Mytilus edulis: one gene and its partners. The main gene of each other region encodes a partner of the protein of the gene in region 3 in a complex. Links are inferred from orthologs where the notes say so. Each region holds a gene or a part of one and is shown on either strand. Other genes may lie near its edges.

Region 1 (7,941 bases), on a different chromosome or scaffold from region 3:
GATTTCCGCCAATTAACAGATAAACATAATATGAGTACTTGTATACTGAAGCACATGTTTCCAGATAAAAATCTGTTATAAGTATTTCCTTTATCTAAGTTGAAATATATTAGTTACTATAATTATTATTTTTGACCTGTCCAATTGACTACTGTTTATAAATAACTTCAGCCCACATCCGTCCACATATTTACAGCTCGCCTTATTGGACCTAACCGTGGACCGTGTACCAAGGCCCAGAAAAGCAATGAATGGTATGGGCTCCAACGAAACCCACTTATTATTTGATCAAATCGATAACGAGGTCCATATACCGGAATAACAAGAAGAGCAAGGCGACTTATATTGTACTGCAAACTCCTGTCTTGATACCAGCACAAACGGGTATAGGCAGGGTATGCGTGAATGTTTGTCTTCGGTGATTCAGGGGAACAAATATGTATCACTTCATAGAAAAGAAAAGCCGTATGAAAGGTAATTGAAAGGAACTTAATAGTTGTTTGGTCTTGTATTTTCTTGTAAGTTAGATGACCTAATATTATGAATTTATTTACTACATGTATATCCTTTATTTTCGTTTAAATGACTCTAACGAAACACAGGAAAAACTGTTAGTATATATCATTAGTTATTGACCTTGTTTCCTTATTGGAATTAATGTGACTAAGTTCAAAATAGTTATGTTAACGCCAATGTACGTTCGGATACAAAAATGGAGATGTATATGATGACAAAATATATAAGAAAGATTCCGAGAACAAAGCATCGATTGTGGAATAGTTGCCAACACAAGATGCCCTATCATATTGTAGTAGATATAGTTGTCTTTGCTTTACTATTGGAACCATTACAATCAACAACATAAATAATAAAAATCACAATGCCATTATGCTACAGTGATTTCCGGACCTTTTCAATGATATGTTTGGTGGTTTTGGAGGAGTTTCGAATACAATGTCCCTACCCACTTTTGTCGTGCTTAATGACTGGGTCAGTTAATAAATGGACCGAGTTTGCATTTTAATTCAGTGCTGAAAGGTCAGTTGTATATATTTTATGCATTTTCATATGACTTAATATGAGCATTGCAAATTATTTTCAAGGTTATTTGTTGTGGCAATTTCAAATATTGGGAATATTAGGAATATGGTACCATTACCAAGTTACTTAATTGCCGCGAATAAGCTTAAATTTAGACTTGAAATTTAGATATAAAAAAATGTGGTAAGATTTCCAATGAGACAACTCTCCACAAGAGACCAAATGACACATAAATTAACAGGTATGGGTCACCATACGGTCTTCAACAATGAGCAAAGCTCATATCATTTAGAATATACATTTAGCAACTGATATATATATAGTATTGTCTAGAACTCATACCTCAATACATCCATTCAACCGGTATCTTGCATACACTACCCAAAATGAAATTAACTACCATACAAAAATTGTGAAGCTAGACATACTGTTCAGAATAATACCTAGGAATCATTCATGATATTTGAATATCCAAACTGTGAGTATATTCATAAAGATGATTTTACAATAACTCTTTATATACAAACTCGGAATATCAGAGAACTCTCCCTTTTCTCAATGTGGTAGTTTTTGTAGACTCAAATTAAGATATGCCAATATTCCAAGTTCATAGACTGACAACCATTCATCAGACTTTCTGTCGAATTCCACTATTTCGTAATGAAATTGACAAAAGATATCCAGTAAAACTCGAGTTTTCTGTAAACGAATGTCATCCTCTCTATAATATAGAAACGTGTCGGTGTCCTAAAATGACCAGTCTCAGGACAGCGTCCATAAAAGGACAGGATAATTGAACAATTACATTGAATGACTTTACTGATAAAATTGTTAAGTGTCATTTAAGATCAAAAGATCGACTCAACATTTATGTAAGCTAAGTACTGGTGGATTTGTCACTTCACACAATAGTGACAAGTATACTTACTTAATGTACCAACCAATTATCAAAACATTTCCATTGATAATATTGTTAGATACTAAAAGTGAAACTAGTTCAATTCATCATGTAGCGCACATCTTAAATGAAATGTTGATCAAGATTCATAGTTTTACAGTTTTCCTGCGTATACTTCGAGACACTGACAATATCAATCTGTAATTTTTAAATGTTGAATCAAATCATAAATGTATACAGAAAGTTCTTATCTACAATACTGTTTACTTCTCTATGTATTTACATCAGAAATAAAGAAAAAGAGCGTTCTGAGGGCATGTAAAGTCACATGTAACAGTTGTCACTGGACGTTATAAAGCATGATATGACTTCAACATTCGAACAATCACTAAACTCAGCAGAAAGTCAAAAACACGAGGAGACAACAAAAAAATATTTTAGCCTTTAAAATTGAAGTATGAGAGTCTTCTTATTTAAAAAAAAAAACTTTTTTAATTGTCACCAGGAGAAGAAAAGCTGAAGTTTTTCTCAGTTCCTATTGGTTTTAGATTGTTATGTTTGCTTATTGTTTCTATCTTAAAATACAATTTCTGGTCGGAAATATAATAACGTTAGTAGTACTTATTTAAATTGCACAAGAGCGCATTTTGACGATCAATGTCTCAATGTCAGAGATTAACTGCAACATTGGCGCATGGGATTAAAAAATCAGCAATCTAGATCATGTTCTCTTGAATATTAGATTGATTTTAATGCAACAGATCATGAATATTGGACGGACAAGTTTCTGGAGCCGCATTTTCTAACAGCAAAAAGTGCAGCAAATTAAATTTTAATCTAAAAATGGGTGAACACTAAATGCTTTCTAAAATTATCATCAATGTAAGTAAATAAAGACAGCTAATCACTTCCTATACAAGATTAAAACTGGCCATACGACCCAAATTTGATATGATCTGAAATCATCTTAGGATAAACTATAAAGGTCAAATTACATATAAAGCAGATAGTAAATTTATATCAGCTGATAAACAAATTCATATATCTACATTAGATATATTTATAAACGTGTGTAGAATTTTAATGATGATTTCAGCGTTCATGGTGCGACTAAGCTCATGGCACAAAAGCTGTTAAATATGAACCATATGACAAATAATTAAAACGTTCTGCTTATAATTAAAACCGGTCAGCCACCCAGTCTCTCCGATAAATGACCGGGACATTAGCCTTTTTCGTTTGGTATATAAGAATGGTGCTGACGCCAACCAGATCTACACTTACCTATTATAAGACTTATCAGTGTTAGTCCTATCAGAGACATATAATTGTCTCTGGTCCTATGGTATCATGTGAAACCATAATTGCTGGCCGCATCATGCATGCTCGGTCTATCTATTCACGGATATTTCCATGAAAGCTACCTCGACTCTTCATCTCAACGGAATATTATACCGTTCTGATAAGTTTTAATTCATATGATCATTTATATTGAAGTTTTCTTCTTTAGTCAGTCCAAACAATATTTATTTGCCAAAAAAACAACAACAATGAAATATATTTTATAGTTTTTTTCATACTGTGTTGTTACATCACTGTACAAGGTTATAAAAGTTAGGATTGAGTCCTCTAATACGTTTTTACTCCACTACATTTTTATGTGCCTTTCCCAAGTCAGGAGTCCGTAAATAAATTCAGAGCTTGTCGTCATTGTTTTGTTATAAGTCAAGCTGGTTTACATACATATGTTCCTTTTAAGTATGTGCAGTACGAATCCTGTTTTAATATTTGCTTGCATATGTTCTGTGGTCTATTTTACGGCTTATTGAATTGTTTTATGCAAGTCTTGTATCACTTAATATTCTTGCATGATAACGGATGTACATTTCGTTTGCTTCAATTTTCAAATTTATCCTTTTTAATCTAATAGAGCATACTAATTCTTGCATCTTTTCGTCTTTGTGTTAAAGATCTCCATATCATATATCGGGCTGCTCGTATTTATACCACCAAAGGTCCTCGGTGTTTCTCAAATCTCATTTCTTATATAGATTAGACAGTTGGTTTTCCTATTTGAATGTTTTTTTACATTAGTCATTTTTGTGGTCATTTATAGATCTTTATAGCTTGCTGATCGGTGTGAGCCAATGCTTTATGTTCAGAGAAGGTCGTACTTAGACCCGGGGCTACAATGGTTTACTTTAAAAAAAATTATGACTTGGATCGAGAGTTGTCTCGTTGGCACACAACTTCTTACTTCTAATTACCTTTCGTTTTAGATCCCGATTGTATTATTGACTTTAGTACATATGTTATATTGGTGAACATAGTCATTTCATTTGAGTTCGGTGTTCTCGATAGCTTCTTTAGTTTATGCTTATATATATGTGTACTCTGTCTCTATTTTTTCAGTTCTTCGTATCATGATTATGTATGACAATATTTCTATAGACCATTCCCGAACAGCTTTTAGAAGATTTGAACCTGAGACTATACCATCATCATACGGATTCAAGATGTTTATTAGCCGTAATCAAGGACTCTCAATGGGTATACACTAAAAAGTTAACAATTTCACATTGTTTGTAGGCTTCTTTTTTTATATTTATTTTATTTTATAGTATAACAAAACTATAAAAGATATAGTTAGTTAGTGCGCATATAACTGTACAAAACGGGAAATATAAATATGACACTGGTATATTCTGATACAACTATACAGTCCATTCTTTTAATGTGTTTGAGCTTTTAATTTTGAATTTTTCTTGGAGCTCAGTATTTTTATGATTATTTTTTTATATTAAATCGAAACAATTCCATAAATGATACTACATTAATATTAACACTTATTTTTCAAGATTATATTGGTACTTTTAGTTATTTTACGGAATCCTCAGATGAATCCGACAACGGTTAAAAACATGGATTTATACATTCATAACATCCTTGTCTGCAGTGCGTTTGGCCAAATATAGTCATGATCAATATTGTTAAAGATATAAATTGACTTCGTTGTAAACATGTGCAATTTTTGTTTGTAGGTTGTCAATAATCTTTTCTAACATCACCACAGTCATAAATGCATTTAATTCGTAGACAATAGGTCAATGGCCTTCATAGTTAAAACGGTAAAAACCGTTCGAAACAATTGGAAGAAATCGTTAGCTGCTGGTGTTGCTGTGTATTTTGTTGGAAGATTTGCAGCTCGAAAATATAAGTGAGTTTCCAATTGAAGGTCGTGATACTCTCTTGGCTCTGCATCTTATCGGCCAATAAAAACTGATCACCACAAAATTACACAATAATGTTGAAAGTGGCCTTTAAAACAGTAAATGGATCAACTTCATCAAAAGTCATCCACAATATTTCATTTCTGGAATCATGCCTTTCACCAAAAAAAAGATCATCAATTTTGCAGACCTTTATAACGCTATTTATTAAATATAAGGCACACTTATACTACATAAACACGAAAATATTAAGATTTACCAGAAAAAGAAAAAAAAAGGGACTTTGGAAAAAAGGGAGAGGGCTTTAAGTACCTATGACTTTTTATACCTTTTTCTGAAATTCTCCACACCATGATAAAATCTTTTACAGAAATTCATTCTACAACAGTTTTACATACTTTCAACCAAGCTCTAGATGCCAGTGATTTCGTGTGTTTGTTCTAGTTGAATCTAAACAAGGAGATAAAAAGACAATATTTTTTTCATTAGATAGTCAATGAATAAAAGTACTACTGTTTATATAAAAGTATAATCTGACTTCAGAAAAATAAAAAAAAAGTGGAATACAAAAAATCTCTATTTAAGTAATACATGTATTTCTTTATTTTTTCAGTGAAGATTTATTGAGAAGAGAGTTTTGTAAAGAAGCAAAGGTAGGAACTTTATTTGTGGAGGAAACCGGAGTTCCCAGAGAAATCCACTGACCTTGGATAGGAAACTGACAATCCTAGTCAATTAAGATTGGAGTTAAGTCACACTTGATTGCACCTGAACGAGCTAGGTTTGAACTCGCAACCTCAGTGTTGACTGGCTAGTGATTATTGTAGGAACTACTTAGACAGCCACTGAGGCTTTTCATTAATTTTTTATAATTTTTTATAAGTTAACACAGATATATTTTATTTGAGATCTAATTAATAATTGTAACACATCCATTTGTTTATTTACAGAAATATGGAAAAGTAAAAATAGGTGTGACAGATAAACCAAGAAGAATTATAGTGTTTTTGAACCCAGCTTCTGCATCAGGGTATTTATATTATGATTTTTAATGGGTAACAGTTTATTTTTCATTGATTCTGTACCGTTACTTTTCTTGATATTAAATCTTGACTGAACTTGGATTTCTGAAATGTAGACATCAATTTCTTTTCATTTTTAAATCACTTATGTCAAAGTTCAGATAATAAAAAACCATGTGTGCATAAATTGGTCACAGCTTTAAACATTAAGTGACAAGTACAAGTGGATGGTGCCCTTTAAATGACAATAAGCCATAACTTGGTTATAGGTCTTAATGCCAATTTGCAAAGCACCAGCTTGAATAGAAATAACAGTAACTAAAAAAATCTTAATAAATTACCTTTTAAGGGGGCTCACAGGTCTTAATCAAATTTTTTAATTAATATAGGATTTCGCTTTATTTTTCTATAAATGAACTTTATCTTATACCTAATAGAAAAATGAAATAAAAAAATGGGGTCACCGTTCATTTACTCTCACAATCTGCCTTCGAAAGAAGCATAGATTTTTGTAAAGGTACTTTTTTCTGTTGAACTAATAAGAGAAATAGAGGTAATATCGAAATAAAAAAAAATTGTTGTTACAGAAATTGCTCAAATTTTACAATAGTTAAGTTTAAGTACAGCTTATTTGAAAATTATATAAAAAAAAAAAATAGGTCACCCATGAGTTAAAAAAGATATTTCAATTTTAATGCCAAAAATTGGAATTTTTGCACCAAAGTGAGATAATTTGGAGCTTTTCCAATGATATCAACATTTTAAAAGTCATCTGGGGCCAACACAACTTGATTTTTTTGAATGATTTATGTACCATATGATAAAGTTACAACCACTAAAGGTAAGAAATAAGATTTGTAGTAAAAAATAAATGTTTAATTTTTTTCTGAAATTTTTATACCCTCCTTTATACCAGTTTTCATGAGATAAAAGAAATTTTGGTCCATATCGCTCTCTAAACTACAGCTGAACAAACATAGTGGAATTCAGGACAAAACCACAACCAAAGAGCAAAAATCAGCCTATAGAGGCCTCCAATGGGTCTTCAAAGTAGTGAGAACATCCTACATCACAGGCCAACATTAGTTTAAATATATAAATTTTGAGTTTCCATTCAGCTAAGTTATATCAACACACAGAGATCACGTCTTTTGTTATTGTCAACATTATATACCTTGTCCATGTTAATTAGAAACTCCCTGCAAAACATTTTCCCACATCTCATTACACTAGAACTGATTCTTTTATAGGACAAGGGGTTGTGCACCTGCAATTTAAATTTATTTAGAGCAGCTTTACAGAATTCCAACAAACTTGCACAGAATTTTTATTGGAAATAAAGTTTTAAGCTTGCTATTTTATCTTTTGCTTTTAGCAATTTTTTGGGATTCGATTTAAAAAAAAATTGGGGATTCCATTCCTGTACCAAATCACAGACTACACAGTTTCTTTCTATTTTACCTTACTTTTAGATGGTAGATGATACACATCTTTGGAACATGTTCACTTTTTTGTAATAATATTATTTTATTTATAGAGGAGCCGTGAAATCTTTCAATAAGAATGCTGCACCAATATTACATTTAGCAGGAATAGAAGTTAATGTAGTAAAGGTATGTTATTAAATTGTATTGTTTTCACAGAGTATGATTATATGGTTGATTGATTTTAAAAGGGTCACCATTAAACCCTTATCTGGTTTAAAACACATGTAAAAACTCTGGTATATAACAGTTAAATTCGTCCAAAT
Region 2 (7,792 bases), on a different chromosome or scaffold from region 3:
TCCAATATGTTGTTTTTGGGAGCATGTCTTAGTCCAACGAATCTTGGTGAAACCTAGCAGTCATCGCAAACGAGTGATGCAGCAATATGAACGTCAGTATTTCATACTCTAAATTCCATGTTACTATCCTGTTTTGCAGTTAAAGACACTTTCAATGTCTGTCATGCTTCAGCTGATAAATATATTTTTTTACTCTTGCGATCAAGGATTTGTATATAAATATCCTTGGTGCGATATTTAAACTTTAACATGTGCATACCTGTCAACCTGTGACAATGAAAATGCAGGTCATGACCTGCATTGAAGAATCAAATCTCAGGTCATAATGCGTACAAACTTTTTCAAGCTGAATTTCAGTATTTATGGTACTTTTTTCTTGTAATTTAAATCAAAGTTACTTGGTTAAGTAATTTTAAATCTTATTAATTATTATTTCATTGCACTTTTAAAGATTTTTTATAAATTTGTTTAACACAGTCTTGTGTTCTTTATTTTACCCTCAAACATCAGGATATAGTTTAAGAGTAATTTTAAAGTGTTTCAGACCAGCTATTCAGCCTTCAAACACATCATCCTAATCATTCATTACAATCCATCTTGTTCATTGAAATTATACGATAGTAAAATATAGTAATACAGTTAAAGGAAGTATAGATGTACAAAATAATTTTCAACTTTTTTTTCAAAATTGTATAACATGTATAAAGGTATAAAAATAATGAAAAGTTATATTTCAATATGTATTTGAATTTTATTTTTTCTAAGATTTAATCTTTTCCCAAAAAAAAACGGAAATATAAGGAATAATTTTGAATGGTGACAAATAAGGGGAAGTAACTCTAGTAGAAATATGTTTGTAAAAACAACAGTGCAATTTATTTACGACCTTAAGCTAAGGTAATTGGTGTTAATTAACAGTGTGTTTGACACCAAAGCTGTTAAGTGAAGCCATGCACTTAATGGGTCACTTCATTTGACAGTTTACACAGCTAGATGAACTTTCTGTTCATGGAACAATTACGAATTTGCCGGTATTTCAAAGGAATATTACTTATGAAATCAATCTCAAGGCTAAGAAATACGGGTGAAAACTAGTCATTTTCGGAATTCCCGGGTTATTCAATGACCCGACGGGTGTCCCGGGTGATCCCTCAGAATTGTGAAAATCTCGGGTAACACCCGCAGAATACGGGTTAGTTGACAGGTATGCATGTGAGGTTGTAAAATGATTTCATTACCGTTCATTATTGAGGGTGGTAAAGGGGGTGCTTGCACGAAAAAAACGTGAAATAAGACATAATTTCACGTTGAACGTGAAATAATTTCTGTAATGAACGTTGCATGAAAAATAAATACTTTTATTTGAACCTTGTGTGACTGAGTCACTGTCTTCTTGTATATATTAACTCTTTGTTTTACTTGATATTCCCGAATTATAATACACATTTATGATATAATTGGTTTATGGCTTTTAAAAAAGTATTTCTTGACGATCCCTGCCAAGTCTTAGAATTTTATTTGAAAAATATCGAGCACGCAAAATAAGACTTTGAAAATCATGATGCATGTAAAATTAAATAAGCAGAAAACGTTGAACGAGGCACCCGTCTTGCACAACTGAACGTCAAATAAACAAGTAAAAACATGTTGAACGTGAAATAAAAAACGGTGATCACGTTCCACCAAAAAAACAACCTTTACCACCCTCAATTTCCATATCCAGCTAAGTACTAGTCAATTGCGAAGGCAATTGATTTTTAACATTTGCTGACATGACATTGAAAGTGGTTGAATCAGTGTTTTCATTTTCAGAGTCCAGATAATTTGTGATAGTAATTTCATTCTAATTGGATTCTTACTATACAAATCCTTGATTGTACAGACATTACAGATTACAGATTGATGAAAAAATAAGGTATACAAGTTTAGAAGGTTGAAGTTTAATAAATCTAGCATACATTAAGGTTCATGTGGACCCTATGGCTAAAATGGCCGTATTTTCACCTCAAAATTTACTCGGAGTACAGACAAACCTGCGCATCTGTAAAAAAATTCAGGCATAGCATGCCCTAGATAAATGAATTTTAAATATGTTTTATGTTTTAGAAAAGTAAAAACTTACCAGGATTTTGCCGTGCACTTTTTTTCATTTCTCCAGAAGGTGCCAAAATAAACTAAGTTGGGAAACAGGTTTGAGAACTTCCCCACAGGTAAAAATTAAAGTGAGCATTTTTAATTGACATGGACATTAGATGGACAATAGATACCCGACAATAATTGGTTATTTAAACTGTGTACCTGAGTGAACCATATCAAGGTAAACTCAACTGTTTGTTAATTTTATCGTCTTCTGCAGAGACGAAAAAAAGTGTATGGCAAAATCCAGTTAAGTTATGAATTTTCTAAATCATACAATGCATTTGAATTCTATTTATCTAGGGCATGCCATGCCTTAAAACTTTTCCAGATGCACAGGTTTGCCTGTACTCAGAGAAAATTTTGAGGTGAAAATACGGCCATTTTAGCCATAGGGTCCACATGAACCTTAAGTGCATCAATGTACAAATGTAACAATATCGCAAAGTAACCTTAGCCTCAATTTTTATTGTTACATTCGTAATTAATCGGATCCTTACCCAACCCTGTACTGCGGCAATTATTCTCCAATGTAACAATAATATTTTTATTATAATTGTTACATTTCCATGCCAGTACCTATCAATAAAATATCATATTTTATGATCTTTTATATAACAATGTTTATTGAACAGCCTGGAAACAGTATATTCCTGGTCTAAACAACAAAATACTTTTAACTAAATTGAATATGTAACTGTTCGTAAAACAAAAGGTATGATTTACAATGTGTCTCAGTGACAATTTTTGTCTGATTTTTAACCTACATGAGTTATAACAGAGAATATAAGTGAGGGAGGGAAACCAATGGTAATGTCATGAGGTATTTATGAACGTAGATCGCTCCGTTTACGGAGCACCAATAACTGCGAGTAATCCATGACAAATCGCCCCACTGGCAAATCTCCCCACATCTAATCGCCCCATTTTTTCACAAACTCGCCCCACTTTCTAAAAAACCGCCCCACTCTTGTTTACCAACTCGCCCCACTTATGAAAAGGGTAAACTCCCATTGCAAATAGTTATAATAATATGCTCCCCTTATGAAAAGGGTTAAAATCCCGCTGAAATACGGCTCCACTCATGACAAATAGATAAACCACTTATAAAAAAGATGCAATCCCGTTGTATATCTTTGTCCCTGCCCACGTCAATACCTTTAAAAACCAAAGTGAAGTGCTATAAAATCAAATTGCTGTTAAGAACTCTGTTTTTGCAATAAAGTTGTATATAAATGTTTCACGCATCAATAGTATGATTATGATACAATTAACAGGTTTCTTTTCAATTGTTATACAAATAACTAAGCTTACAAGCATAAAGTTATTCTCCAATAATGATACAAAAATGTATTTGCAATTATATTTTAAGAATGTAAATTTTTTTTAATAAATTTCGTTTTTTTTTTGTATTCTGTCTGAGACTACTATAACACATAGTGTACTCTCAGTACTGGTCATATAATTCACGTGATCTATATTCATGATATTGCTTTTCGGCCCGGTCAATTATTTCCGTTACGGACTGACAAGGATTTGTATAGTAAGTCTAAGTAACTTTACAAATCCTTGGGACTGGCAATGAATACTGAATTACATGTAAACATTAATTGTGCATGTAATTCAGGATTCATTGCCAATCCGTATTGGAAATATTGGCCCTAGTATTCACATCATTGCCAGTCCGTATTGGAAATGAGGCAAATGCCTCATGTCGGAAATTTAAAATAAAAAAGTGGAAACAAAAGCTTGTCTACTCTTTTTTCACAGCGAATGTCTTGCAAGTAGCACTTTCTCTTCACTCTCTGATGTCGCCCCTGCATGTTTTTCTTGACTGACCCATGTTTCTAATTTACTTTTATTTTCAAAGCTTATGGTCTATTGTTTTTAGTTATGTGTCTTTTCTGTACCCGGGTTTGTCTTTTGTCCATTTATTGTCCTACTTTATGATTATAGTAATAAGTGTTGATTTTCATTTGTAAATCTAGTACATTTAGTTTGTTTTTAACTTGAGGTCAAGATCGTCCCTGCATGTATAGTGTCGACTAAAGCGGTACGTATAGTATGATATATTAATACTGCATTGTCACTATATCTAAATTCAGTCATAAAACAAAATCAACAAAGTCAAAACACAATACAAGACAAGAATAGACAGATCCGGTATTCAATGATTTTAAGAATTACGATTGTTGCTTTATCCTACATATCGGTCTAACTTTTGATGTTGCCCCATAAACCTAAAAGTCTTGAATTCCATTGAATCTATATAGTTTGCTTTGAGACCAGAGTATTGTCGAAAAAATAGCTAAAAACTAATTGCGTCAGAGAAGAGTCCGGAAAACGCTCAGAATGCACGATTTTGCGTCATTTTTTTTCAGAGCTTCGGCGGGCCTTTCAATCGGCCCCAGACCCCTCGCCGAAGATTTTTCGCCTCACTTTTAAAAGGGTCTAGTTACGGCCCTGTCAGAGCTGTATCAATCTTAAATGTTGTGGCCATACTTGCCCCAACTGTTCAGGGTTCAACTTCTGCGGTCGTATAAAGCTGCGACCTGCAGAGCACCTGGTTAAATTTATATATGACCTGCATATAATTGATTTAAAATTTTGAATATATTAGGAATATACTCTATATGGAATATGGAGGTACTCATACTAACAAAAGGCTTATACATTGAAGAAGAAACCGAGCGCCATATAAACACCATGTATATGAACCCTATAGTCTATTTTCGACCATTGCGGCCATGTTTCTTGGTGGATAAAACATGTTGATACAATTCATAAACTAGATTCCTAAGAAACATTCATTTAAAGTAAAGAAGTATTAGGAACAATATATTGTTTCAGATGAGAACATTTTTAAATGCTAGCGGCAAATTTGATAAGCAAATTGTGTCATGAAAATAGTCTTTATTTACAAAAAAAATAAACATTTATTTTTCATTACAAATTTTATTTATTACCTTTAGTATAGTTGTTACTTTATCATGTTGTACAAAAATCAAAAATACCAAAAAAAATTCGTGTGGGCCCCAGATGACTTATAAAGTGTAGCTTTCATTTTTGAAAAAGCTCCAAATGATCTTCCTTTGGTGCAAAAATGCCTTTTTTGCAATTAAAATTGAAATATCTTTTTTTAACTCATTGGTGACCTATATTTTTTCATTATAATTTTCAAACAAGCTGTACTTAAACTAATAAACTCATCATAGATACCAGAATTAAAAATTTATATTACGGATTACAAATGTGTCGAGGTTTCTGATTGGATAACAATACAGAGATGTCAGTATATATTCAGAAAACTGCCGGGGTATATACGACGTTTTTTTCCCCAATTGGAACCTCAAAAACGTCATCATAAAACCGGTTACTATGTGACGTAGTCATAAGCTATCAGACTGTCAGAGGTTCACAGAGGGAAAATAATGACGTGCTTCAGTCAATAATACATTTTTGATACAAAATCACGCAATTAACACTTCTAATACTTTAATTTGATGTTAAAAGTGTTATTATAAATTATTACATACACGATAAAATTATGTTCACAGAAAATTAGAAAATCCTTCACGTATGCCGAACATATCAGGTTGGGTTTTTCAATATATATGTTTTGTCAACAAATACCTGCACTGGACAATAACATTAAGTCAGGCGTAATCCGTAATATATGTGTAATTCAGGTCTGAATAACATATAATATTTACGCCATACGCGGGTTTCGTCTACAAAAGTCTCATCAGTGACACTCGAATTAAAAAATGTTTAAAAGGCCAAATAGAGGACGAAGTTGAAGAGCATTGAGGACTGTAATATATTTGCTATGTAATAATACAATCCAGTTTCTATAACTAATTTATTAACAAGTACATCGTTTGATGGTCAGACTACAGAATGACAACATGTGTATAAGAACTTCAATTGATCTATTTAATTGCATGTTTATTTAAGAACGGGCAGACATGTGAGAGTTGCTGATCTGTCAATTATAATTACTGTAACAGATGATACGGTAATAAAGTGAGGTGAACTTTATAACACTTCTCCGGCCTTAGATAAAAACAAATTAAAAACAAATTAACTCAATTACAGAAAATTAATGTCTTTTCACGGCTACTGATTGATAAGTCCATATCAGTTTGAAAACAAATAAAAATGTCAGATCACAAAGATTCATTCGTTAAAGTTTGTCTGCACTGAAACTATAATGTCCTACTATGAAAATAAAAATTAAAATGTTCGCACTGGTCTTGTTGTTATTTCTTACACTAATTGATATGTACACACATACACTGCGAAGTACTTAATGCACTTCAAACGGTTGTGAGGATTATTATGCCTCTTTATAAATCAACCATTTATTTCAACACAAAATCCTTTAAATGCGATGGTTCTTTTCTTATTCTCTTCGGATAGCGTGGTTCCATTTGTTCAGTCAAGTTTGACGATTTATCGATTTGCGGTTGTTCGGTCTCAGGAGTACTTATCGGTATAGTTATTTCTGGCTCAAACAAATCACTGTCATTGTCACATTTTCCTTCATTTTCGTTGTTTGTGCAATCGAAGTTTCGTACTCTGATGTGGTCAATATGTCTACGAATGACACGTCCATCTTGCAATTTAATATGAAATGAAAGTGGTCCTGATTGTTTTATAACTTCTCCTGGAATCCATTTAATCTTTGAACCAATTGCGAAATTTCGGGCAAATACTCCCTGTCCTACATTAATTTGTCTGTTCACAGATTTCTTATCGTGATAATGTTTCTGTTTTTGTTGTCTTTCCTGAACTCGCTTCTCAATATTTGGAAAAACTTAATCTAGACGCGACTTGAGTTTCCTTTTCATAAGCAATTCTGATGGTGCCAATCCTGTCGTTGTTTGTGGCGTTATACGGTAGTTAAAAAGAAAACGGTTCAACTTTTCCTGGACAGTTCCTTCTTTGATTTTCTTCATACCTTCTTTGAAACTCTGAACTGCTCGTTCAGCACAACCATTACTAGCTGGATGCCACGGCGCGGAAGTACGATGTTCAATTCCATTTGATTTCACATAATCGGCGAATTCCTTGCTAGTAAATGCGGCTCCATTATCACTAATAATGAGATCACATAATCCATGTGTTGCAAACGTTTGTTCAAGTTTTGCAATCGTAGCTTCGGATGTTGTAGAATTCATTACGTGTATGTCTATCCATTTTGAATACGCATCAACCATAATTAGAAATGATTTGTTCATGAATGGTCCTGCAAAGTCTATGTGTATTCTTGACCACGGATGGCTCGGATATTCCCACGGATGTAACGGTGCTTCTGCTGGTAACTTGCGGTTTTCCTGACAACTATAACAATTAACTACAGTTAATTCCAAGTCATTGTCCATTCCCGGCCACCATATGTAGCTTCTTGCTAGACTTTTCATTCTAGTAATCCCTGGATGTCCTTGGTGTAATTCATTTAACATGGCTTCACGTCCTGGTTGTGGTATAATTACTCTTCCTCCCCACAATATGCATCCGTCCTGACTACTGAGTTCATTTTTCCTACTATGATACGGTCTTATTTCTTCATTTGGACATTTTGACGGCCATCCATTCAAAATGTATCTAAGCACCATAGATAGTATTGTGTCCTTGCGTGTCCACTTTTGAA
Region 3 (7,398 bases):
CATCAGTGACATATGAAACACCCAAACCGGAATATGCATGAAGGGACAAGCAAGTTTACCCAAAATATATTGTTTACATAAAAATGGCAGCAAGTCAAGTGAAAATATGAAGGGGCTCTAGGGGGGACAAAACATAAAGTTACAGATGCCCTGGATTGAATATTACTGTAGGAATCACATCATTTGAATTGTAAATGAATTTATAATTGATCCATGTTATTTCAAAAGTTCTACTAAATATTTAATTAAAGTTTTTTTTTAAACCGGATTCCAAGAGCATCTTTTCAACCTCGATTCACCACTGTCATTCATCGTCTGCTATTAATTTCCAGTTAAGTTAAGATCAATCAAAATGTATATTTCCTGTAAAGCTCCTTTTAAGGTACATCTGTACATGTATAAAAACAAAATTATTTTAATTCTCAAGTGTTTTATTTTCATTAAAAAATCATTTCTGTAGCGTGTTATAGAGCACTGGTTGTTATCAAGCACTGGTCAGGTGAGTCTACATTTTGTAATCATCAATGTTGGAATGGGAGCAGGGTTTCCCCTGGGTCAATCATTTTTTTCGCCACCTCTTTCGCCAAAACAATATATTTTTCGCCACTTTATTATTTTTTTCGCCAAGTAACATAAATATATTTTTCCTGTTGTGCCCTTTTGTACTAAGAAGTAATTTTTACAACAAAACAAAAGCTTTTATCACATGAAATTGATCCCTCATTTCATGTGTAGTCATCACATTGAAGGGTTACTCTCATTCGAGGGGTTGTTCCCAGATTTTTTAATAGATTTTTTCATAACGACAGTTTTCTTTTCTTGACCATCGTAAATGAAAAAGTTGAGACGTACAACTATGCTTGAAACGTGCATGTGTCACTCAAACGACTTTACTAAAGTCAAAGGATAAAAGAATTTAAGTTTTAAATCGGAAATTTTTCTTGCTTTTGAACAATTTTCGTCACAACAACTGTCGAACTGAACAGCTTTCTTTTCAAAACTATCTTTAAAAGGAGAGATGTCAAAAGTTTGCTTCAAACACGTGCGTCGCAAAGATGTAAATAAATTCTGTATGTGACATTTATAGCGGAAGCCATTTGACCATATCATTTTGTGAAACAATTCAATCAACACCTTTATTAATTAGTCCTTTGTTGTCGATAGCTATAAAATGCAATCAGCTGATTATTGATTTTCTGTCTAAATCTTAATGAGGTCAAGGTGAATTCCGAGTATTGTCTGATCGGGTAAAGTCCGAGAAACTCGAAAAAAAGTAAATAAACAAGATGGAGGAAAATAAATCGGTTTATATATTTCTTTCGCCAAATTCTTTCGCAAATGACGAAATTTTATCGCCACAATTATTATTTTATCGCAAATTGCGAAAATGGCGACCGCCAGCGGAAACCCTGAATGGGAGCAAACATGACTTGGGGCTAACGGCCCCAGATTCACTGATTCTGTCATGACTGTAGCTTATAAGTCCTTATATTTTTTGAATTATCAGATGGACCTACTAATTTGTTTTATATTTTTAATGTCATATGAAAATTTGTAAAAATGAAGAAAAAAGGTTTGGTGACCTTTAGTCCGAAATTACTCTGACGTCCAACGACTGTTTTGCCAGACAAGCTGGGGCCGTGGGACGTCAGAGCTCGTCCCATATCAAAAAGTGGATATTTGCCCACCCAAAATAGATGCGCTGCTTCGTCGCTTCTGGTGCCGACTGACGGCCTTGGAATTATATAAATCGGGCATCAATCTGTTCATTTTTCATTTATCTTTTCATTTATGTAAGTTTCACCTACCTGCCAACCTTTATTTTTCCATATTTTAACAGTTTTCACAGAGACCCATCGATTTCTGCATTTTGCCTTTCATTTTCAAAGATTATCACGTGACCACGAGAAAACAGTGATGATTTATGCAAATGACCATAATGTAACACCTTGTTCATACACCTTATCGCTATTAGCCTTATCGGCCGGCTGACCCGGCCGCTTGAACTTTTGACGCATACAACAATCACTTTTCCATTGTGGCGTCCGATATTTTGTTTTATGACGTCAAAATTTTACGGGAACCTGTGTAATATCCAGTAATGGCGGACAAATAGCGATAAGGTGTATTTACGATGCAAGTTATCTAAATGTCCGAGAGCTTCCGATTGTTCTCGTGGTCGGAACTAAATGCTTAATACCGATCTCCTGTCAAGGAGGCGAAAAATCGTGGTTGGCTACTAAATGTTAAACATCAATCTCCTACAAAATTTGCATATTTGAGTCTCAAGGCCACGAACTCTCTCGTAACTTGACGTTCATTTGAAAGTGAAAGTCAAAATGCAGAAATCGATGGGTCTCTGTGAAAACTGTTAAAATATGAAAAAATAAAAGTTGGCAGGTAGGTGAAACTTACATAAATGAAAAGATAAATGAAAAATGAACAGATTGATGCCCGATTTTTATAATTCCAAGGCCGTCAGTCGGCACCAGAAGCGACGAAGCAGCGCATCTATTTTGGGTGGGCAAATATCCACTTTTTGATATGGGACGAGCTCTGTTGTCCCACGGCCCCAGCTTGTCTGGCAAAACAGCCGTTGGACGTCAGAGTAATCTCGGACTAGGTGACCTTGTACTGTCATGTTTATGCTGTTAGCACATTTTTCTGTAGTTTATTTCTTCAAACTTTGTCTCCATCACACAGGAACGACCAGCTTATATTATGATAAATCAAAAACTTCAGTATATCAAATTATACCTGCAACACAACTCGCGGAGGCTCTGAATGAACAACTTTCAAAAAATGCAGTAATGAATACTTCTTCTTTTGATTTTGGCATCTGAGGAGCAGTACCAAACGGCATAAAGAAGTTTCTAGGCTTCTTCTTTTCACCAATAACATTATCGACTATAAAACTAAAATTTTGAACGTCATTTGGAGTTAAAACTGGGATTTTATCAGTTCCAGTGTCCGTCGACATGGGCGCAGCCATGACAGTTATTGCATAAACTCAGGACCGTCTTGGCTGTGGACATGATAATTATCCGAAATTATATTTTAGGCACTCCATGGCTACTGTTACCCGCAAAAAAGTAACAATGAGAAAAAAAATATTGTAACTACCAAGACTTATCACAGAAACGCATTTCCAGACTGGAAACCGATTTCATTCCATTTCTTTTCCATTTTACAAACGCATGAGATGATTGTATATTTCGGCAGTTAACCGTAACGGTACCCAAATTGCAACGAGTACCCAAATTGCACCTATTTAGCAAAAATAGCAGCAGAAATCTTACAAGATCTCCTCGAGATAAAACAGTTTGTATTTTTATGATTTGATACTATAAATGTCTTTCAAAATAGGTAAATATCAGGGGCGGATGCAGGAATTTTCGAAAGGGGGGTGCTAACCCAGGGCACCCAGGGCAAAGGGGGGGGGGGGGGGGTGCAAAACATATGTCCCGATACAAATGCATTGATCGGCAAAAATAAAGGGGGTGCGCACCCCCGGAACCCCCCCCCCCCCCCCCCCTGGATCCGCCACTGAATATATTTAGACTTACACAAAACGTTCACAGTATTTATCAACAGATGAAGTGTTTTACTGAACATGTTGAAAAAGCAAAATGTACTGAAACGTCGCCGTGCGACGTCATCAAGTCATCAAAACGTCATCTTTTTAAAATAAGCAAATACAATATGTTTCAAGTATTCATTTCTTAAAAAAAGAAGAGTAAGCATGGACAAATATCCAATTGTTCAAAATATTTGAAAAAAATAAACAAAAACTCTGTTATTCGACTTTTGACGATGCGAATTTAAGCATGGATGCAATTTGGGTACTCCTCATTACAGAATCATTGATGGTTTTGAGGTTAGTTCAGCCCAATTTTTCTATGATTCCATATGAATTGAAAATCAAATTGGTGTACCTATATAGTAAAGAAGGATACGGCTACAAAATAAACACACAATGGAAACTTTTGTCTTAATCATAAAAAAACGTAGTTGAAAAAACTGTCAAAATAGGTGCAATTTGGGTACCGTCACGTTAAACATGTTATAGTCTCTGAAGTAGCAATAATTATATCTTATTTGCCAGTTACTTTTTCAAGCTAATCGTAGCCAGTGCCTATATATAATGGGTAGGACTAATACCTATTTACTAGGTTATTTTTCTCAGATAAAAAAGTATGATTAATTCCTTCCAACTCAGATCTTGCGGTTAAAATTATAGGTCTAGATAGAAAAAACAATAAACAAAAATAAAATGGTCATAGAGTTAAGTGTAAGTCAGTTTTAAAACGGCTTGTTATATTAAAACTAAAATAATTAGTAATGCAAGATACAAATAAAAAGTCCCACTGCAGCAACAGTAGTCATATTATATAGCAGCTCAACTTTCAACTGATCATGAAAACGGTGTAGAACCAAACAATCGAACAAAAAAACAGTAATACACGCTGAATTTATACATTTTATTCTCGGACCCGCCAATAAAAAGCCATTACAAATATTAAGGATATGCACGCTAATCAAATCAGGACTGCAGATTCCAATGTTCAGAGAATTGCACGATAGACGTCACCCCTTTTGTCTCTACCTTATCCGAAGTTTCACCAGAAGCGACCGAATATAATTCAAATTTGTGTATACCGTGCATGCTCTGAATAGCCTCAGGATTTTTATTTTGTATTGTTAATATGTATGTTTGTCAGAAACCTGTCAGCAAAACAATCTTATCAGTATTGCAATGTAAACTACTGTAACATTTATAAAACAGGCAAATTAACTGCTAATGATAGCCTTGGACTAGTATGTATACATGGTCATGATGGTATAATAGTAAGTCCTAGTAATCATGGTAATAGCTAAATATTATTTCTATATTTTGGTTTTATAAATGATTGAGGATTGATCATGTTGATGGCCTTAAAAAAAAGAAAGAAGATTGTTCAGTAGTTTTCGTTTGTTGATGTGGGTCATGAGTGTTTCTCGTTTTCCATTTTAATATAGATTAGACTTGGTTTTCTGTTTAAATGGTTTTACATTAGTCATTTTGGGGCCCTTTACAGCTTGCAGTTAGTTGTGAGCAAAGGCTCAGTTTTGAAGGCTGTACTTTGACCAATAATGGTTTATTTTTATACAAATTATGACTTGGATGAAGAGTTGTCTCATTGGCTTATATACCACATCATTCTTCTTTTATATCTTTTTGCACAAAGCACAGCCAAAGCCGACTTAGATCAATACAGTGCGCACATAAAACAGCCAAAACAGATGAAGATAGTTTGGCGATAAGTGAACACAACAGTTGTTCAGTTTAATCACTTATGTGGCTTAGAGTTCATTATTGTTGTGATAAACAAATGTTGCAAATTTATGACATTGTAGAAAATAATTTGCGAAGCGTGATCTTCAGGTTCATTTAAGTATATTAGAAAAAAAATATTATATTGAAACCAAGTATCATAATTAATCGGAACAAACAATATGAAAATTTCTTGATAGTTTATCAATCGCCTCTTTTAGATTGATGATATCAATTGTACATATCGTATACTTTTTTATTGTTCTATGAGAGTTTTCCGAATTTAAAGTGTTCAGAAATAAAGATATTCATTAGGGACGTCATCAAAAGATCGATGTAGGATAAAAAAAAACTTAAATCAAATAGTTTTGGGGTGGGGTGGGGGTGAGGGTCAACATGGCTGCAAGTTTTGTTAATCCAAAATCGATTTTACATATATATATATATCCATATAGGTAAATCAATTTTTCCCAAATTAAGTTAAGAGGAGGGGGTGGGAGGGGTCAGTGAAAAAAACTATGTGAATTAAGTTGTTTTTTTTTATCCTACATTGAACTTTTGATGTCGTCCCGTAAGCAAATCTGATGACCGAACTCTGATCACGAAATTGGATTTGTTTCATTGTCTACTCATAGGTCATATTAATTACTGTTTAAATGATTTAGCTACCAAAAGAGAACAGGTCTATGGTTTAAAAAAATTGAAACGATACCTTTGATTACTTTTTAAAATTACGTCACTCTAGAGGTATATAAAGGATGTACTTTGAGAAAAACATAACTGACTTGATCAACAGAAACAGGAAAACAAATTATTTTTGTGTTTTTACAAGATTTTCATTTACCTACTGATAACCATATACTTTTTTGTTAGTTACTGTTGACATTGAACTAGATTTTAATAACTGCCAGTGCATTAAGCTTGTACGTGGTGTCTTTGGTGCCTTTGGTATTTGTTCTTTTGCTTTATATCGATCTGATGAGTTATAAGACCTTTTCCACTGATTTGTATAGTTTGTTATTATTTTATACCACTTTCTAGAGTAGATAGACACCAAAGTCTAGGATTATAATTTAATACGCCATATACGCGTTTCGTCTCCAAAAGACCCATCAGTGACGCTCTAATCAAAAAATGTTTATAGGGCCAAATAAAGTACAAAGTTGAAGAGCATTGAGGACAAAAAATTCCTAAAAGGTTTGCCAAATACGGCTGAGGTAATATATGCCGTACGTTGTGTCTTTGATAGTTGTACTTTTGCTTTATATCGTTCTGATGAGTTGTGAGACCTTTTCAACTGATTTATAAAGTTTGTTATAACAATTTCCAAGTTAGTTAAGGTGCGAGGCACTGCAGTGGTTGTCATTTATTGCTGTATATATTGGTTTCTCGGTTATTGTTGTGTACATAAAAAAACATTACAGCATTTTGATATTGTAATGAAAGACGTTTATTACTAATTACTAATCTCATTTTCTACTTGTTTTTGAAGGACAGACTGAGAAATAAAGATATTATTAGTCCTGGATTTCTCTTGTTCGGTTGTTGGTGGGTTTTTTTTTTTGGTTTTTTTTGTGTGTGTGCAGGATATAAAGTGTACGTTTCCACGTCCGGTCGGAACGGGGACGTTAAATCCGATGCCTCGTGTAAGATTTATAGTTATCAAAGGTACCAGGCTTATAATTTGATACGCAAGACGCGCGTTTCGTCTACATAAGACTCATCAGTGACGCTTAGATCAAACTAGTTAGAAAGCCAAACAAGTATAAAGTTGAAGAGCATGAAGGACACAAAATTCCATGAAGTTGTGCCAAATACGGCTGAGGTAGTATATGCCTTGGATAAGAAAATCCTTATTGTTTCGAATAATTCATGCTTTTGCAAACAGTTAATTTATTTTAAAAAAAATACCATATAATTGATTTTCATATCAACACCGAAGTGCTTACTATAAGCCTGGTGAAACCCTTGATGCCACACCCTTCTCAAGGTAACGAACTCTTGCAACATTTTTTTTATAGGTGTCCGTAGGGGACATGTCTTAAATCCAACCATTCTAATGTATCGTTTCCAATGTCTATCTA
Region 4 (7,411 bases), about 59 Mb from region 3:
AGTGCAAGGTTTTTCAGGGATAGGTTTAAAACGTATGATAAATTCAAAATGGAAATATGCAGCAGGACAGATAATTTTTGCAGATAAATAAATTATGAGTTGTAATGCTTGTTTGATTAACAGAAATCTGGACATGCATTACATGAATACAGATAAATTAATGAGCCCTTAGAATTGTGGAAAAGGAGGGGATTTTATTCATCACTAGTACACTGGATACATTTATAAATATGTTTCTGTCAGTATCTTTTATGTTTTAAGAATCATCTTATTCATGAAGAAAGGCAAGAAAATGGGAAGTACTTCAATTGACACAAGATGCTAGTCTTTAAAATATGTATGTTTTGTTCCAGGCTAGCATCTTCTGGTACAAAACTACTATAAACCTGTAAATTATTTTGGTCTGTAAGCTTTGGTGCTTACAGTCATAATTATCTTGAATGCATCATTGTGGTTCTGACTATAGTAGATACTTTGTTCTCTGGTTCAAGGGAAAATTTGTCAATGATAAATTTCAAATATTTAATAAGTTCAACAAATGTAAGAGCCACGCATATTTGTTCTGTGATGTCCTGGTGAAAAACTTCTATCTCATGAAGCGACAAAGTCGAGCAGAAATCATCTGTTTCTGCTTTACAAAAGATAAAATTGAGTCCTCTACAAGGTCTCTCAGAACGTTTCTTTCAAAGAATAGCTGAAATTTGATTTTTGATAAAATCCATCTCCCTTAACCAATGCATTGCAGCATAGGGAGATGCCTTCCCCTGTCAGCCTCTTTGACATTTAACTTTTGGCAGACTTTTTCTATTCCATGTCATTTAAATGTTTGCTACCAATACAGTGTAAGGCAAACGCTTTTCAGATCATGATTTGAAATAAGTAAAGCCAGGAACAAACTCGGCAGATACGACCAATTTCCGGCAAAATTTCGATTGTTTTTAAATAAAAAAAAATAAATTTCTGAAACGCAAATAAAATTATTTGGGCGGCAAGTTTTTCAGTGGGTTGGGCGGCAATGCCAAACAAATGAAATTTTATTTTAGGCCTTAGACATGCTAAAAATTATTTTTTTTGAGGCTATGAAAATCTAAATCATCGTTAGCATACTGGATTAGTCATGGTCATTTTAGAATGTTTAGACTGAAACATTCAATAAGGCAAGAGTGTGACAATACATGTATCTCATCTAGCACTTATCATGCTTATTTACCACAGTTGGCTTAGGTTTTCATGTTCTAAGAAAACCAAATAAAATTTCAACCAGTAAAATGAAATTTTTACTAGAAAAACTTCCTGAATGTAGTTATAAAATTTAAGAATTAATAGTAACATAATAAATTTAATATTAATTGTCTAGTGTATTTTTTAAATATTGACAACTGATCATGAATGTACAGTCAACTAAACGCCACCTTTGCAATCTATGACAGAACAGCTGATGACAGTGAGTCAATTCATCTTTTTATCAATGGCCTGCTTTTCCTTGTACTGATTACACTTTCTCCTGTTAGTATCTTGTTCATTTCTTCATTGTATAAATACTTTAATTGTAATATCACAACTATTAAAACAGTTTATGTTAAGATTTTTGGGGCTGCATTTGATCCTGGATTTTCTTCACAGTAGCCTCGTCTTGTTGGGACATAGATGTCAATTTCTTTCCTATATTATCGTGCATTTCTAAGTACTTGGATACACATCTGTCTAAACACACTGATTCACCTTTAGATAAATCTGCTTCGTTATACTTGGGTGGTACACATTTTTTCTGACAGGCAGTGGTCATTCTAAAACACAGAAAATATATATTGTACATTTATTAATTTATTATAGATAATAGTGGGGTTACGCAAAGTGAACAAATTAAGAGGGGGATACCTTTTTGTGTTAACCAGTTATGGCCCTTTTCAAGGTGTTTTTAACTGTTATCTGAGATCAATTTAAGCTGTTATTTGTTTGTATCAGCTTTTTTGCTAAATGTTTTTGCCAAAATCGAGGTGTTGTCAACATGTAAACGGACCCCCTATTGCCCCCTCAATTAAGAGTGTTTTTGAATTATATCAAATGATTTATTTTTAAATTAATGCTGGTTTCATCACTTCTGATGACCATCAATTTCTTTATCATGTTTATTACTTTAAAGTAATATGAAAATAGTGACCGGTGGAAAATAATGTTAATCCAACTCTTGAACCAATGCATACATATATCATAAACTTAAGTCTTCTGTGATCGATTTTATCATTTTGTTAGCATAAGTTTCGTCTAATCGTCAAAAAATATTCTATTTGTCAGTGTTGTTGTGAAAATATGGCAGCTTATTATTAGTCGTGATGTGAAGCTGAAGTTTAACAATTGTCACCCGTTTGTAATCAATCAACAAAGAAGCATGGATATTCAGGTAAGCAAGTGTATAACAGGTACTACAAGATATAGTTTATCTTGATGACTATGACGGAGCGATGTTTACGTTTAGTTTTCCTTTTGCACTTGCATATTGAGATTGTCTAGCATATTTTTTTGTAACATTGACAGCTGATCACGAATGTACAGTCAACTAAACGCCACCTTTGCAATCTATGACTAGAACACAAGAACAACATGCCTTGTAAAATAGAGCGGGTAGTTTATTAGACACATGACATGTTAGAAATTTAACTCTGTAAGTCCATAGTAAAATACAAAAACCAACTAAAGACTGAGCAACACCAACACCACCAAAAACTTGGTATTATGTACAGTGCTCTGATACTTGTCTTTGACACTGACAATATAAACATGGCAAAGGTCAAATTTTGGTTACATCTCAGAAATACACTTTCTGTCTATCAATTCACCTGTTATACATATCTGCCATCATTTCTAATTCTAAATCCGAAACCAGCTTTAACTGGGCTTCATTTAAAGAAGGCGTTGCCATTTTAAATGTGAATATTTCAAATTAAAAAAAATGTTGTAATATAGTTAGTGGGTTTCCACGTGCAGGTAGCCGGATAAACCGGAAGTACAATAAATGGCGAGGACTTGCCTCTTACACCAACAAATCAAAACCGTCGTCTTAAAATAATTAGCCAATCACAGTTGTTGTTCTATTGCAGATTAGAGCTGTCAAAATATTTTGTTGACAAGCCAGGCTACAGTTTCTATCCCAAGTGTCTTTGTATCAGGGGAAACACCTTGTAGTTTCTTTATTGTCATCGAAAACAGAATATTGCTCTGTTGTCTAAATTAGTTAAACTAAATGATAATTAGCGATTCATTTTGAATCATTGGTTGATTATTTCTGAATGACAAATTTGTAATGATAAAAACATTCTTGTAACGTGACCAAGCAACTTTCAGTTTCATAAACATCAACATGGCTGAAGATTCACAAGATGTGGAGACAAAGTTTTGCAAAAATTGGTAATTTATTGCTGGATATTTATTTTATAATTTCATTTTGTAAATATTACGTTTTCCTTAAAAGAAATACTATAAATTACTGCTTTCATGTCTATCTGTCCCAAGTCGATCCGGCCCCAATAAAAAAATATTTTTATAAGAAATTATAATGAAGATATATCATCATGCATTATATGAATTGTAAATCACTGATAAATGTTTATGAAATTAATAAGATTATAAAAGGTGTACAGTAAAAAAAAGTTGGCCTTTGAGGAATATTTTCATTAGATGAGTTTAAAACAACTATGTTGATTATGTACAGTTTCATTACAAGTTTTCAACATTATTGAGTAATAAAAACATATATAACAGAGTTTAATACAATCAACGTTCATCAGCATTGATTACCGTTTTTTTCAATTGCAAGTCTTTCATCCTGTGTAATAACAAATAGTTACATAAACAACATTTCAAATTTTGTAAATTATTACTAAATCAGTCTTAACTTAGTCGACACCTAATTTTAGGATTTCTGGTAAAGTGGGTATTTATTATTATTTAAAAGTTTTCAAGAAAATGCCTGTACCAAGTCAGGAATATGACAGTTGTTATCTATTTGTTTGGTGTGTTTAAGCTTTTGTTTTTTTTTAAAAAGTTTTCCCCAAGATCTCCATCTGAAAAACTACTCTATAATTTATCAATTTATGTGTTGATGGGTTTTCTTTATTTTGATGTTCAGCTTAATCTAAAGTCATGAAAGTGTGCACGTGATATAGGAAAAAAAAAAAAGAAAAAAGATACCGGTAAATGTGCCGCAATTTATACCATCAGAAAAAATAGAAAGATACCCTTTCAAAACTGTAATATGCGCAAATTGATTTTGCCCATATAGATTATTCATTATTTTATTATGGGGCCGGATCGACTTGGGACGGATCGACTTTGGGCCGGATTGAATTGGGGCCGGATAGGTTTGGGGCTTGAATGACCGGATACCAAATTACGGAGCCAGGAGGGCTAGTTTGTGGGGAGAGGGTTTATGATCCTGTAACCTGCTTATTGTTTTGTCATATATAATATAATTTCACAGGTCCTGACTGACTCCATGTCCCTTTTACATGCAAAATGATTTTTTAAGGTGTCATGTGTAAAAAAAATAGAAGCCAACCTCGCAATAGCTTACATGAACTCTTCAATCATTTTTTTGTCAATGAGACCAACAATGTAATTGTATAAACTACACCAGTTGACCTTGGATATTTGGGATAAAATATGTATGAGGACAAAATTGTAACAAAGATATTTGATCTCTGACATCAAATTACATTGTAGCCAGGAAAAAAGATGAATTGGCATTATTGGAAAATTATTTATTGTTGACTGACATGGCTTACATTTTTACAGGGTTCACCATGATCCATAAGTGGTGTTGCAGTTTTTACAGTTAACTTTAAGGACCACATCCCATTCTTCAGAAATTTTTGTATAAACATGATAAACGCTATAAACTTAAGCTTTCATAGACAAACCAGTAAGGTTCAAGGCATATCACACAACAGCCAGGGTAGATTTTGCTTTTTCCACAGTCCCACCCTAGCTATAATCTCTTTTTTTGTAAAAATAGTGATTACAAGTGCTTATCTGCTTTTTTCAATTGACTGTACTTGCCAGTCTTTTGATTAAACAAAAGAAATTGCATGCTCACTCCTATGGGTGGGCAGAGTGGACAAGCTAGAAATTTTGCCCACCCGGTACCCACTCCAACTGTGGAGGAGTGGACAAAGCAAAATCCACCTGAGCTGTAGTGTCATATCATGAAGACTGGCGTTGCAGCACACTTGAATTTCCCTCTGCCACCTAAGTTTGTATTCACCTTGTAAATATGCAGTTCTCCATTCTGCAATAATCAATAGATTTATAAATCTAAATTTTATACAGAATACATTATACCTCATGTCAATGGCAATCGATCAGACATAATACTTGCTATGGCATCACCGCTAGTACAAAAAATGTATTTAATAGTGTGAGCACCACCTTAAGAAATTTTAACATTGACAGCTGATTGCACAACATAATCTTGTTGTGCATGATTAATCAGTCCAGATGATTAATAAGCATGTACATGTACCACATACAATTTTTGTACATGACATCCACGAGATATACATGTATAGCTTGGCAATTAAGATAAAAAGGAAATAGAATAGTGTTTATATATGCAATTAAGAATAGATAAAATAACATGATACAGGCCTCTACAATAACTTTTTTTTCAACTTGTCCTGTAGGACAAGTACATACCAAAATTCACTTGTCCGAATGAAATTGTTACTTGTCCTAATTTTTATTATTAAAAATAACCTTTTTACATTTTTAGTTGATTATTAAAAGGAGCAAAACGAATTTAGACAATACATTTATAACAGACTTAGATGTATTTCTTTTTATTTTTCAAAAATATGAGTCAAGTACAACTGCGAAACTAGTTATATCACAGGAATTGGGTTTTAGTTTTCATCAATGCTAGTCTCACCAGACTCTAAACATGAGGCACCATCTGATAGGCCTGTACACTCATTGGATTTGTATTCTGTTTTGTTTTTTAAGTTGAAAAAAGTTTATTCAAATGCAATCAATAAAAAGAAGATAAGCCATCATAGGGTCTGATTGCCAATGAGACAACTCTCTGCAAGAGACCAAATGGCACAGAAATTAACAACTATAGGTCACCATATTGCAAGTATTGTTTTTTATACGACCGCAAAATTTGAAAAATTTTTCGTCGTATATTGCTATCACGTTGGCGTCAGCGTCGTCGTCGTCGTCGTCGTCCTGCGTCCGAATACTTTTAGTTTTCGCACTCTAACTTGAGTAAAAGTGAATGGAAATCTATGAAATTTTAACACAAGGTTTATGACCACAAAAGGAAGGTTGGTATTGATTTTGGGAGTTTTGGTCCCAACATTTTAGGAATTAGGGGCCAAAAAGGGCCCAAATAAGCATTTTCTTGGTTTTCGCACTATAACTTTAGTTTAAGTTAATAGAAATCTATGAAATTTTGACACAAGGTTTATGATCACAAAAGGAAGGTTGGGATTGATTTTGGGAGTTTTGGTTCCAACAGTTTAGGAATTAAGGGCCAAAAAAGGGCCCAAATAAGCATTATTCTTGGTTTTTGCACCATAACTTTAGTATAAGTAAATAGAAATCTATGAAATTTAAACACAAGGTTTATGACCATAAAAGGAAGGTTGGGTTTGATTTGGGGAGTTTTGGTCCTAACAGTTTAGGAATAAGGGGCCCAAAGGGTCTAAAATTGAACTTTGTGTGATTTCATCAAAAATTGAATAATTGGGGTTCTTTGATATGCCGAATCTAACTATGTATGTAGATTCTTAATTTTTGGTCCCGTTTTCAAATTGGTCTACATTAAGGTCCAAAGGGTCCAAAATTAAACTTAGTTTGATTTTAACAAAAATTAAATCCTTGGGGTTCTTTGATATGCTGAATTTAAAAATGTACTTAGATTTTTAATTATTGGCCTAGTTTTCAAGTTAGTCCAAATTGGGGTCCAAAATTAAACTTTGTTTGTTTTCATTAAAAATTGAATAATTGGGGTTTTTGATATGCCAAATCTAACTGTGTATGTAGATTCTTAATTTTTGGTCCAGTTTTCAAATTGGTCTACATTAAGGTCCAAAGGGTCCAAAATTAAACTAAGTTTGATTTTAACAAAAATTAAATTCTTGGGCTTATTAATATGCTTTATCTAAATATGTACTTTGATTTTTGATTATGGGCCCAGTTTTCAAGTTGGTCCAAATCAGGATTCCATATCAAGTATTGTGCAATAGCAAGAAATTTTCAATTGCACAGTATTGCACAATAGCAAGAAATATCTAATTGCACAATATTGTGCAATAGCAATTAATTTTCAATTAGAGTTATCTTTCTTTGTATAGAATAGTAGTTGATAATATATGTTGGAAATTTGCCAGACATGACTATGATGTCATTTTCT

The links.
Region 1: mitochondrial import inner membrane translocase subunit Tim22-like (region 3) and acylglycerol kinase, mitochondrial-like share a complex: the UniProt entries of both Homo sapiens proteins name them as parts of the TIM22 complex. The link is inferred for Mytilus edulis from reciprocal best matches to the Homo sapiens genes TIMM22 and AGK.
Region 2: the proteins of mitochondrial import inner membrane translocase subunit Tim22-like (region 3) and mitochondrial import inner membrane translocase subunit Tim9-like are in contact, whole or in part, in a cryo-EM structure (PDB 7CGP), measured with the Homo sapiens proteins. The link is inferred for Mytilus edulis from reciprocal best matches to the Homo sapiens genes TIMM22 and TIMM9. Residues at the interface, in NP_037469.2 of Homo sapiens: Asp35, Arg37, Gln38, Pro39, Arg40, Leu42, Gly45, Ser46, Leu47, Gly49, Ile50, Ser52, Pro53, Lys60; in NP_001291414.1 of Homo sapiens: Gln13, Glu16, Phe17, Thr20, Leu57, Thr60, Gln61, Met65, Phe67, His71, Gln74, Asn75, Leu78, Lys81.
Region 4: the proteins of mitochondrial import inner membrane translocase subunit Tim22-like (region 3) and mitochondrial import inner membrane translocase subunit Tim10-like are in contact, whole or in part, in a cryo-EM structure (PDB 7CGP), measured with the Homo sapiens proteins. The link is inferred for Mytilus edulis from reciprocal best matches to the Homo sapiens genes TIMM22 and TIMM10. Residues at the interface, in NP_037469.2 of Homo sapiens: Tyr25, Ser26, Leu28, Leu29, Gln30, Tyr31, Leu32, Val33, Arg40, Leu42, Leu47, Gly48, Glu67, Glu144, Ser145, Tyr146, Gly148, Ser150; in NP_036588.1 of Homo sapiens: Pro3, Ala6, Gln7, Leu9, Ala10, Ala11, Leu13, Glu14, Val15, Met17, Met18, Ala19, Tyr22, Ser44, Lys45, Gly46, Glu47, Arg53, His62, Glu63, Gly66, Leu69, Thr70, Ser73, Met74.

The regions. Positions count from the first base shown.
Region 1 is NC_092344.1:79,052,181-79,060,121, reverse strand, and holds the start of acylglycerol kinase, mitochondrial-like, read left to right. Parts: upstream 1-4,936; 5' UTR 4,937-5,046; coding exon 5,047-5,156; intron 5,157-5,782; coding exon 5,783-5,822; intron 5,823-6,119; coding exon 6,120-6,199; intron 6,200-7,728; coding exon 7,729-7,804; intron 7,805-7,941. UniProt on the Homo sapiens protein: Lipid kinase that can phosphorylate both monoacylglycerol and diacylglycerol to form lysophosphatidic acid (LPA) and phosphatidic acid (PA), respectively. Does not phosphorylate sphingosine. Phosphorylates ceramide.
Region 2 is NC_092346.1:22,147,310-22,155,101, forward strand, and holds the start of mitochondrial import inner membrane translocase subunit Tim9-like, read right to left. Parts: upstream 3,013-7,792; 5' UTR 2,904-3,012; intron 2,888-2,903; exon of another isoform or gene 2,863-2,887; intron 1-2,862. UniProt on the Homo sapiens protein: Mitochondrial intermembrane chaperone that participates in the import and insertion of multi-pass transmembrane proteins into the mitochondrial inner membrane.
Region 3 is NC_092349.1:81,526,910-81,534,307, forward strand, and holds the start of mitochondrial import inner membrane translocase subunit Tim22-like, read right to left. Parts: upstream 3,023-7,398; 5' UTR 2,993-3,022; coding exon 2,758-2,992; intron 1-2,757. UniProt on the Homo sapiens protein: Essential core component of the TIM22 complex, a complex that mediates the import and insertion of multi-pass transmembrane proteins into the mitochondrial inner membrane. In the TIM22 complex, it constitutes the voltage-activated and signal-gated channel.
Region 4 is NC_092349.1:22,053,496-22,060,906, reverse strand, and holds the start of mitochondrial import inner membrane translocase subunit Tim10-like, read right to left. Parts: upstream 3,014-7,411; 5' UTR 2,921-3,013; coding exon 2,838-2,920; intron 1,788-2,837; coding exon 1,580-1,787; 3' UTR 1,053-1,579; intron 1-1,052. Other genes in the region: TRAF-type zinc finger domain-containing protein 1-like, read left to right, coding at 3,359-3,405.